Linked DNA regions of Drosophila melanogaster. The protein of the gene in region 2 interacts with the protein of the main gene of each other region in a pairwise test. Each region holds a gene or a part of one and is shown on either strand. Other genes may lie near its edges. The genes, in order: gw and Tao.

Region 1 (5,281 bases), on a different chromosome or scaffold from region 2:
ATAGGGTCACGCGGATCGATCATGCGAATGTCTCGTGGATCGCTCGAAGTTGCTCCAGAACCGTTACCGCCGCGATGTTCAACATTTCGAATATCCATGGAGCCACCAACTCCCAAAGGGCGTATTTCACGAGGGTCTCCCCAACCGTTACCAGCGTTGCTGGAGTTTCCGCTACTACCTGTTGCGACTCCAGACGATCCAGTTATATTGCTTGACCCGTTACCTCCTTAAATAACAGCAGAAATATAAAAGTATTTCGGGTTAATGAAATAAAAGTTTCTGTAGAACTTAGAATAGGTAATTCCCCAGATAAGGCTCCAACTTCAATTACTACACTTTATGTTTTTATCATGTATTGTTAGTCACATTTTGAGGGAAAAGCTAGAGCCTTTATCTGATCGTTTGCGCTTAACTTCATTAATTCTAATAGATATTAGGCCTACCAGTTGATCCAAGTCCGACGCCAACGACACCTTGTCCCCACTGAGGTCCGCCAGACGAAACAACACCGCCTGGACCGACATTAACTCCGGCTTGGTTTACTCCCACTGCAGCTCCGGATCCCGCGTTGCTAACAGCTCCTCCAGTCCACACACTACTACTATCGGCGCCATCGTCGTCCTCACCCCATGTTCCACCTAAGTTAGAGGATGGTGTATGACCCCACGACGGCTTTGGAACTTGCTGTGCGGCCGGCTGACCTCCGTTTCTCAAATTGGACTCCCAAAGATCAGTACCATTGTTAATGCTTGGCTTCCACATTGGTGGACCGGGTGCATCCTTATTGGCTGGTTCTGGCGAACTGGGAACTTCCCAATTAGTATCCTGGTTAACATGCTGACAGCCCCAGCCATCTTGGGAAAAAAGGGCTTCACGCATAGTGCTCAAGTGTTCTAACTGATTGTCAGCTTCAAAAGTAGCATTCCTTACTATTCCAACATCCACTTGATCTTTAACTTCATTATCATAAGCATTTATGGCAATTTTTAAAAGTTATTTAATTTAATCGAAAAGGAATGACTTAATCTGAATCCTTGTTCTTTCCGTGTTCTGTAGAAATATAGAAAACATTTATTATTTTTATTACAAAATATTCATTCTAAATCAAATTGCTAAGTTCTTTTTTTATTTTCTTGTATATACACAGGATAAATAAACTTAATCACCGTGATACGTTTATGCTTTATACACATTATTAATAGAGTAAAATGGTATATGGTATACCAGATTTGTTCTAAAGTATGTTACATAGCGGAAGCGTTTTCGACATAAAAGCTAGACAGTTGAGAATAAGCATGCAGATTCTAGTGACCCCTACGTTGTGCACGTTTGTTTTTAGTTTTTCTATTGTTCGTTGTTCTTAAAAAATTTTTTAATTCTGATCAGCTTTTCGTAGGCTTAATCAATATCTTCTTTACAGATTTTTAACTGCATAACATCAGTTAAAATTCTGAAGGAGAAATCATAAAAATTTAAGCTTTATAATCGATTCAAAAAGTCTGAGGACATACATATGGGTATATAAGAGTGGGAGTCATTTGACAGGAGTTAAACATGTATACTTAGTATGTACATAAAGAATTTTAAAAATGAAATATGCATCGCGATCGCTGACCTACCAGGTCTGCTGCCCAACCGGCAGAATCCCCACCCACATTAACGACAAATTCCTGTGTGAAAAACGAATGCATGTCAAAAAATAAAACAATTAAATTCACAACTCTGTAATGGTATATAAATATACATATGCATATGTACACAAGTAAAATGAATTTGTCAACTCTGGGCAGGCAGACATTGACGGAAGCACCCTATTTTATGTCTCCCTTTCCTAATTTCGCACTTGCAATTATGCTCAAATAAACTTAGAATTTAAAATGTATTTACACAACCTGTATATATGCAAGTATTGGCAAAAAGACTAATGCGATAGATATATACATGTATATACATTTGTATGAATACATTTTCAGTACTCTAGTGCATATGTAGAGAAGTCATTGTACAATACTTAGTATATTCGCGTGTCTTGTACCCTATGTGTAGAAATACAAGCGAAAAGCTGAGAACGTCACAAAATGGAGATCTAACTAAAACCTACCAAACAGAAATTAGAAATTAATATCTATTGCCAGAATATGCGTTTATAGTAAAATTGAACACTTGTGTATACGCTAATAGTTCACCGAATATTTGCAACAATTTTTGCCTTTACTGAACGAGAAGTTGATTTTCTCTATATATGTAAATATATGTGCATTTTTGTGTGTATGCATGTCAAGCCACTTTGACGAGTTCACAAAGTGTGTATGTGTTGTAAAACATACACACATTCGACAATCAATTATAGTTTTTCATATTTCACAAAATAAACTGGGATTAATAACAATCTTGAATGCGAAAACTGATTAGACTCAACAATAATTATAATTCGATGTAATTGAATATAAATTTCTGCGCACGTTCGACGATGGGGACGGCAGTTACTAGTGTATTAAATAAACCCATACAGATATTCCTGCTTGCAATATTGCCACCTAGTCAAAATTTAAAGACGGAATGGAAAGGTATGTGGAGTATAGACTAATGCAAATATGCAAAATGCTTACTTTATTTTTAATTACACTATTACTAAATTTTAACTGTTGGTGTGGAAAACCTCAAAGCAAATGCGACACATTTAAATTCCCTATTGCTTTGTCATTATGTAAAAGATTTAAAGCGTGGCAACTCTTGACTGGAACATATGTACATATAGACTTTTCCAATGCACGATACACAAGCGAACAGAATTTATTCTGCACTGATACACACATGCGTATGTCCGAAACTAAACGCTTGGGTTTTTGCGACCATTTAGGTTATGCACACTTAGGTTATGTCAGAAAGTTTCGCTTTTAATCGTACTGAGTACGTCTTCAACCATACATTAAAATTATTCTACTTCAATTTAGCTGCATTACTCCGTACATTCTATCCGTGGTGGGCTGTTGGCAATCTTTTCGTTTTAATGACAAAGCGCTTGTTTTCGAAAGATTACGCACACAAAAACATTCACTACTCGTGCTAATTCATTTTAACACACGCAATTTAAATAAAAAGTAACTATACGATGCTCTCACTCGCACTTCGCCTGGATCACGACAGACTCTTCTAGGTAGATGTCCGATATTTTCTTAAACTAATCGATATTAATCAATCTTAGGTAATACCCAGTTTACACAACTGCCTAAAATAAGTGCTGTGACCCGTTCACATCGAAGAGGTCAGATAGAGGGTACACAACAGAAGGATTAATTGATTAAAATAAATTAGCTGATATAATTTAAATTAATTCAAAACAGAGCTGTTTCAAACAAGTTCCAACTCATATAACTCTCGACCATTTCTAACAATTCAAATGAAATTTAAGGGATTAAAACAATACAGTGAGATAACATATGCATTAATAAATTTTAAAGCTTGAATGCCTTATTGAAGTGAGAATTGAAACAGGTTTGGGCAATCCATTAAATTCATAACTTATTTTATTAAGTCTATGTTAAAAAAGAATCCTTAATAATGTAATGTATAAAGTTTGGACTTACGACCGATTAATATTAATGTGTATGTTTTGGTGTTTTGCCTTGAAATCAAATGAAATTATGTTCTAAAATATCGGCTCTCCTTCGACTATCTATGAGATTTAAATAGGTTTTACCAATTGCTAAGAAAATCGAAACCCTTAGGCATTTTTAGTTCAGGGGATAACAGTTTTGTATTTTCGTCTTGACGTGCATCTTTAAATTCGTTTTCATAATCAGACAAGTCGTTTAACACACTGTTTTTCGATCCACATTTAACGAGCAGTTGCATTTTCTCATTAGATTCAATACATTCATCAATATAAACAGTTTGGGTTTTTGAGAAGTTTTCATGAATGGAAATCTTTCTTTCCGTTGTGTTAACGCCGGTTTTATCATTAGAATTAAGGTGGAGAATTGGTATTTTTTTATTGGTTGAATCTTTTGTCTTCAATTTTAAATGAATGGCCTTTTTTACGCCTAATGGAGTTTCAACAAGACAGATATCATCAAATTCTTTTAATACTATGTTAATTTGTGATTTGGTTCGATAAGAAAATGGAAACGAATGTTCATCTTGAAAATCTCCGGTGTTTTCATCGCGTAATATTTTTAAACCAACGTTTTGATAATTATATGTGTGTAAATCTTGGCCGTTATATAAATATACAATGTCTCTGAAACAAAATTTACGGTAATCATTTTTACTAACTTCAGTATTTTCGTACGGATCCTGTGCCGCATAGTTTTCTTTAGTCTTATGACAGTACTTAGAAAATATAACAGGATCTATTAATTGGTTATTCAATATTTTTTCCTGTTCGTTTAAAGTCAATTTAAGCCAAGCGTCTTGGTTGTATGTAGATTTAACTTTATTGAGATCGCAGGTAATTTTTTCGGAAATTGAATTAAGACGTGAGAAGTATGACTGAGCCTCATCGTGTGTTGTCATTTTTGATCTGAAAATAAATATGGTTTGCTGTATTAAATGGTTAGCGGAACGTTAGATTCTATCATAAAATCGAATAATTATATTAACCTGAATTCTTGAAAAAGTATTTATAATTCTTTTATACTCTTCACTCGTAAAGTAAGGGGGTTATTAAAAATTAAAAAAGAACATAACAGGTGAACAAAAAGGTTTCCGAGACTAGTTAATGAACTTCGGGATTTGGACACTATATGATGTCCAAACCGAAAACAAATGCAATAAAAAAGAAATATATAACCTTAGAATCAAATTAGCCCACCTCTCCTTTATTTACATTACTAATTTTTGGTAGCCAGAGGAGTGCTTCCCGACATTACAACATTCATAGGGGCAGACGGAAGTATCAACTCGGATGGGTGTTTCTTTCTAATCTAGACACATACATATGTATGTATATACTACATAGGGTTTATGTGTGTTTAAATTGATATGGGCGTTACAGTTTTGAACGATTTGTAGGTATTTGGTTAAAATTGTTTTTGGCAGTTTTTGGGCGGTTCGTGGTCGTTAGAACAAGCGTGTAAACATTTGGAAACATGTGAGTATAAAATGGGATCGATGCGTTCCTATTACATACATATACTTTCTATGATCGGAGACGGTTTCTTCTACCAATTACATACATTGCAGCGAATCTAATACATATACGATTTTACTTTACAAGTAATGGGTATAATATAGGAAATAAACAAAAATCGGCAAGCCGATTTTTATATGCTTATACTGA
Region 2 (5,210 bases):
CCGCGACGCCCAGGCCCGCGTGGCACCACTCCGTTGGAGTACAGGCAGGCGACTCCAGCGCTGACCAGCGCCAGTTCTGATTGGAACGGCCTTTCGAGCGGTACACACATACTCTTTGATCCGTCAGGATGAGGATGTTACGTCTGCAGTTGATGGCCCTGCTGTTGGTGGGCCTGCTCCTGGCGCTGATCTCAGCCGATCCTGGGCCGCAGGACACGGAGGTGGCGCGAGAAAAGCGAGGCACCATCACCCTGGACTTTGGCCTGCTCCTGCGTAACCTGCTGCTCAAGAGCGCCCAGCTGTCCTCGGCTAAGGCCAATCTGGCGCGGACCACACGTCGTCCACCGACGACCACCACGACGACGCCGCCTCCGCCACCACCACCTGCTCCGATACGCATTCGTAAGCCCATCTGGCATCCGTTCTTCAGTTCCGGTTTCCTGCCCGGGGCCTTCGATGTGGACTACGCTGATCCTCCGGCACCACGACCTCCAGCGCCTGCGCCGCCCACTACACAGCCACCTAGACGCGTCCGACCGCAGGTGCGACCACGTCCACGCCCAACGACACTGGCACCGCCTCCTCCGCCGAACTATGACTACGACTATGACTATGATGCGCAGCCAGCGGCGCCAGCTGAACCTCCACCGCCTCCACCTCCTCCGCCGCCGCCCACAGCTCCGCCACGCCCAAGGCCACGGCCGCGCCCACGACCCCAGCAGCCCGATCCTCAACAGCGGCGTCCCGCCCAGCTGGGCGACCGCCTTATCTATCAGTACGCACAACCTACTGGTAAAATACGAAACCTCTTAACTAACTGCCGTACAATTGGGTTCTCTCCGACACTTTGCAGATACCTTCTTTAGGTCGCGAGCCGTGGCGGAGGCGACGGCGGCGGCTGACCCAGACAGCGGAGACTTAGTTGACTCCCAGGACCCGGACTCAGTTGCCGATCCGGATGCGGCTGCATTTCCTGTCACTGCAGATGGGCCTGACTCCCAACCTGCTTCTCCCCCACCAAGTGCTTCGCGATTTTTGGTCAACTACGAGAGCGATGACGACTTTGGGCAGCCGTTTGCTGGACAGCGGGCTCAGGATGCGGGTCAGGATGGGGGTCAGGATCAGGGTTCAGCGGGTGCTTCTGGTATTCCCGCATCATCCCAAGGCTACTTCCCGCCCCTCGAGCTTGGCAACACGAATCGCTTCCCAACTTTCAATCAGCAGCAGTACTTCTATAATTAAGCGGTAGAGTTTCTCATTTTTCCAACGTGGGCAATAAAATTAACTTCGCAGCTTGATATATTATGTGTATGTACATATGTATAGCTTATGTGTTGCAGTGTGCTTAAAATTGAACATAAACTATTTTAAATATAAGCATCCATTTTTTTGTATTCCCAGTTTGCATAGTTGTAAATAACATATCAAATAAAGTAATAATGTAAGTTCCCCGTAATTTATATTAACTAGGAGGGCGTTAAATAGCTAAGTAAATACCGTATCATGAAATTATCAGTATGTTTTCAAAAAGTGCGCCAAACTTGTTGCGATGAGTATCGGTATTTGACTTAGCGAACTGAGCTATTAAAAAGTTATTAAAAATTTGATACATATATGTGTTCTTCTAACATAGATACCCAACTGCGATTTCGTGAGCTGTAATTCTGCAGAATTCTGTATAAGTTAAATTATTGATTTTCAAACATTAAAAAAAAAAACTAATAATTCCAAAACGATAGCGTAACCACGGACATCACCACCCGGTGCACGTTCGATAGACTATCGATAGAGACCAAAAAACGAACCTTTTCTCTTAAAACTAATTGAATTGAGCGAATTCAACTATAAAAACGCCTCTGCAAGAGTTAACTTCGCAAACATATTGAAAAAAATAAGTTAATTTTAAATATATCGCCTAAAATCGGGATTTTTTAGTAAAAAGCGGTCAGTGGTAGTTTTTGGTTTCAAGCCGCTCGGCTGATCTGGTAACACTGTGTGCTGTGTGAACGTGAACTTTACGGAATTTAATTAGAGAAACGGGTGAAGAAAAGTTGCAAATAGACAATCGCTGCCAATTTTCCATGCCGTAGATGGGTGCATCTGCGACGTAACGATCCCCCGAATTCGGTGCTTGGCACTCGAGATGTGTAGCCAGTGCGGATTCGTGAACGCAACGCGTGTGCAGTGCAGGGCAATAGTTGCCATTCCCAGTAGCAGTATCACTACCACTACCAGTCCCATTCCGATTCCCGTTCCCAGTCGCAGCAGGGCCAATAACAGCAGCAGCGGTCGTAGGGAAAGCGACGTATGAAAGGGAAAAATGCATACAGATGCGAAAAGCGAGACCCAGTTGCGCCGATAAACAAGCAAGCACTAATTGATTGCCAAATGTAAGCCCTCGAACGCAGTGGAAAAAGTTCAAACGTTTTTTCTTTTTCGCCTCGCCAGATTTATGCATTTTCCACTGTCTCTCCATCCCTGTGTGCGTGTGTGCCTGTGTGTGTGAATGCGTATGCTCGTGTACGTGTGTGTATGTGCATACTGTTCTTTTTCGCGTTTGCGTTTTGGCCAATAAATGCGAATTTCTTGTGTGCCATCTGCCCATTGAATTAACAATGTGGTATTATCATTGATCCCACAAATTTCAATCAAATACAGCGCATTTGCGGGTTCTGAGTGCTACATCTGATTTCGGTGCGACGACTCCCTCAACGCGCGAGAACGGGATAGCACCAGTCGAACCATACGAATGTGTGTGTATTTGTCTGCTCCCCCGACGAGCGTGAGTGTGTGTGTGTGCAAGCAAAACAAAATTAGGCGATTCAAAACAGTTGCAAAATGCAGCGAAATAAGCCAATTTTAATCGCAACACATAGATCAACCATGGTAATCAGTCAATAAGTGGTCAGTCAACGAAGAAAACCAACAACTGGCGCAGCATCACCGCCTTCGTGCGTTCTTTTTCGGCTCCTTCGGTGTGTGCCTAGTCCGCACCCAAGGAAAAGCCAACCCAACTGAAAATCAATTCGAATCGCAGAACTCTTTGGTATTCTACTACAATTCCCTGTGACGGAGCGCCACAGCACAGTGCAAGCCACGGAAAAGGCACGAATTGAATTGAATTTGTGTCGCCCGAAATGCAAAACAACAAGCAATCCCACCGCACATATACATATAGAGCGCGCGCGTGAGTGTGTGTGAGCGACATGGCTGCTCTTTGTGCAATAGTGTGGTGGCTATGAAAAATAGGCGTGTTTCTGTTTCGCGTCGCAGGCAAAGAATTGCAGTCGCCGCACCACAGCGGACTAATTGTATTGAGAATTTTTGCCAGGCGGCGATAGGCGAAAGCCGGAGCTCCGACGGGGGCCAAAATCCGCGTCTTTAGCCGGCGGATATCCGCAGACGCCCGCAAAACGCCTCCGCATGCACAGACATGCATACTCCAATGTATGCATGTGTGTGTGTGTATTTGGATTCGCAACGGCGATAAATGCACCCCTTTGGTGCCGTTACTCCTTGGCAGCTCGCGTGTGTTTGTGTGTCAGTCGTAACGACCTTTGATTACCCTGCAGCACGTGTGCATACCCTACACCTAGCTAGTTAGTCCAGCTTGACCACAAATACCGCCCTACTGCACGTGCGCATCCACTCCACTCATTACTTGTTCGAAATCCAAGCAAATGAACTTAACGGCGTTAGTCATACCGACTGCCAAATGCCCTAGACCACTTACACCCCAGCTGTCGTAATCTGGCCAAAAAGCAGCTGACAAGTTGGTAACAAGCTGAGGAAAATAGCCTGGCCATAAAAGACGGTGCCAACAGTGAATATATTTGCGATAAGGCCGTGCTGCGTGCGGAATTCGGAGTTTTGAATGATTCGTACAGTATGTGCGAGCATGAATCACTTGATCGATTTGATGATAGTCGGCTTTTAGCTGTTCCCATCCGTCCGTCCGTTTGACCGTCTCCCCATGCAAATGCTGACCAAAGCACAGTGCCCACTGTCCACTGGCCCAGCCATTCCCGCTACGCCCCGTGCCGCCCAATTCAATTGGTCCGCAGTCTCAGCGTTTCAGCCTGAAATCCCCCAAAAATGTCGACCCTTTGAACATGACTAAGTGACTGGCGCAGGCTGTGAATGTGACTGACTAACCGGAATCGCCTTTTTTTCGCCCCACCCGATCCGCACAGAACTTCAAGACAGCAGAGTAGCCAGCTGGAGCTGCAAGCTGCGAGGAGAAGCACGCAGGTCGACCACTGAGAGAGCTGGGCTAGAGCATGAAAGACAGCCATGCCTTCGGCACGACCTGGTAGTCTCAAGGATCCGGAAATAGCCGACCTATTCAACAAGCATGACCCGGAGAAAATCTTCGAGGACCTGCGCGAAATCGGCCATGGGTCTTTCGGCGCGGTCTATTATGCGCGATGCAACCTCACCAGGGAGATCGTGGCCATCAAAAAGATGTCGTACACCGGCAAGCAGAGCCAGGAGAAGTGGCAGGATATTCTCAAAGAGATACGGTGAGCACTGGCTGACACTTGCGTTCGCCCGAGTGACTTCTAATCAATTTATGTGTACACAACAGCTTCCTTCGCCAATTGAACCACCCGAACACCATAGAATACAAGGGATGCTATTTGCGCGAATCAACCGCCTGGCTGGTGATGGAGTACTGCGTGGGCTCCGCCTCGGACATCATCGAGGTGCACAAGAAGCCGCTGCACGAGGACGAGATCGCCGCCATCTGTCTGGGCGTGCTCAGTGGGTTGAGCTATCTGCACTCGCTGGGCCGCATCCACCGTGACATCAAGGCGGGCAACATCCTGCTCACGGACAACGGCGTCGTCAAGCTGGCCGATTTCGGTAGCGCTGCCATCAAGTGTCCGGCCAACAGTTTTGTCGGCACGCCCTATTGGATGGCGCCCGAGGTGATCCTGGCCATGGACGAGGGCCAATACGACGGCAAGGTGGACGTGTGGTCGCTGGGCATCACCTGCATCGAACTGGCAGAGCGCAAGCCTCCCTACTTTAACATGAACGCCATGTCGGCGCTCTACCACATTGCGCAGAATGAGTCGCCGACTCTTCCGGTGAGTAGCAATCGAAGTTTTAATTTCTTGGTAGGAGTCTGTTTTGATAGCAAAACTGAAGTATGCCAATGTATTTATTTACGTATCGCTCTCATGTGTCCCTAGTGTTATTGTTTT

What was found.
Region 1: the proteins of Tao (region 2) and gw interact in a two-hybrid assay, tested with the Drosophila melanogaster proteins (one large-scale study listed by BioGRID).

What each region holds. Positions count from the first base shown.
Region 1 is NC_004353.4:657,459-662,739, forward strand, and holds the start of gw (gawky), read right to left. Parts: upstream 3,151-5,281; 5' UTR 2,971-3,150; intron 2,526-2,970; exon of another isoform or gene 2,102-2,525; intron 1,051-2,101; 5' UTR 880-1,050; coding exon 444-879; intron 227-443; coding exon 1-226. Other genes in the region: CG46466 (uncharacterized protein), read right to left, coding at 3,697-4,515. UniProt on the Drosophila melanogaster protein: Required for gene silencing mediated by micro-RNAs (miRNAs). Silences both polyadenylated and deadenylated mRNAs. Required for miRNA-mediated translational repression and mRNA decay. Not required for miRNA target recognition.
Region 2 is NC_004354.4:19,576,578-19,581,787, reverse strand, and holds the start of Tao (Tao), read left to right. Parts: upstream 1-1,987; 5' UTR 1,988-2,390; intron 2,391-3,285; exon of another isoform or gene 3,286-3,886; intron 3,887-4,193; 5' UTR 4,194-4,293; coding exon 4,294-4,523; intron 4,524-4,588; coding exon 4,589-5,093; intron 5,094-5,210. Other genes in the region: CG14218 (uncharacterized protein), read left to right, coding at 129-792, 854-1,242. UniProt on the Drosophila melanogaster protein: Serine/threonine-protein kinase which regulates the Hippo/SWH (Sav/Wts/Hpo) signaling pathway, a signaling pathway that plays a pivotal role in organ size control and tumor suppression by restricting proliferation and promoting apoptosis.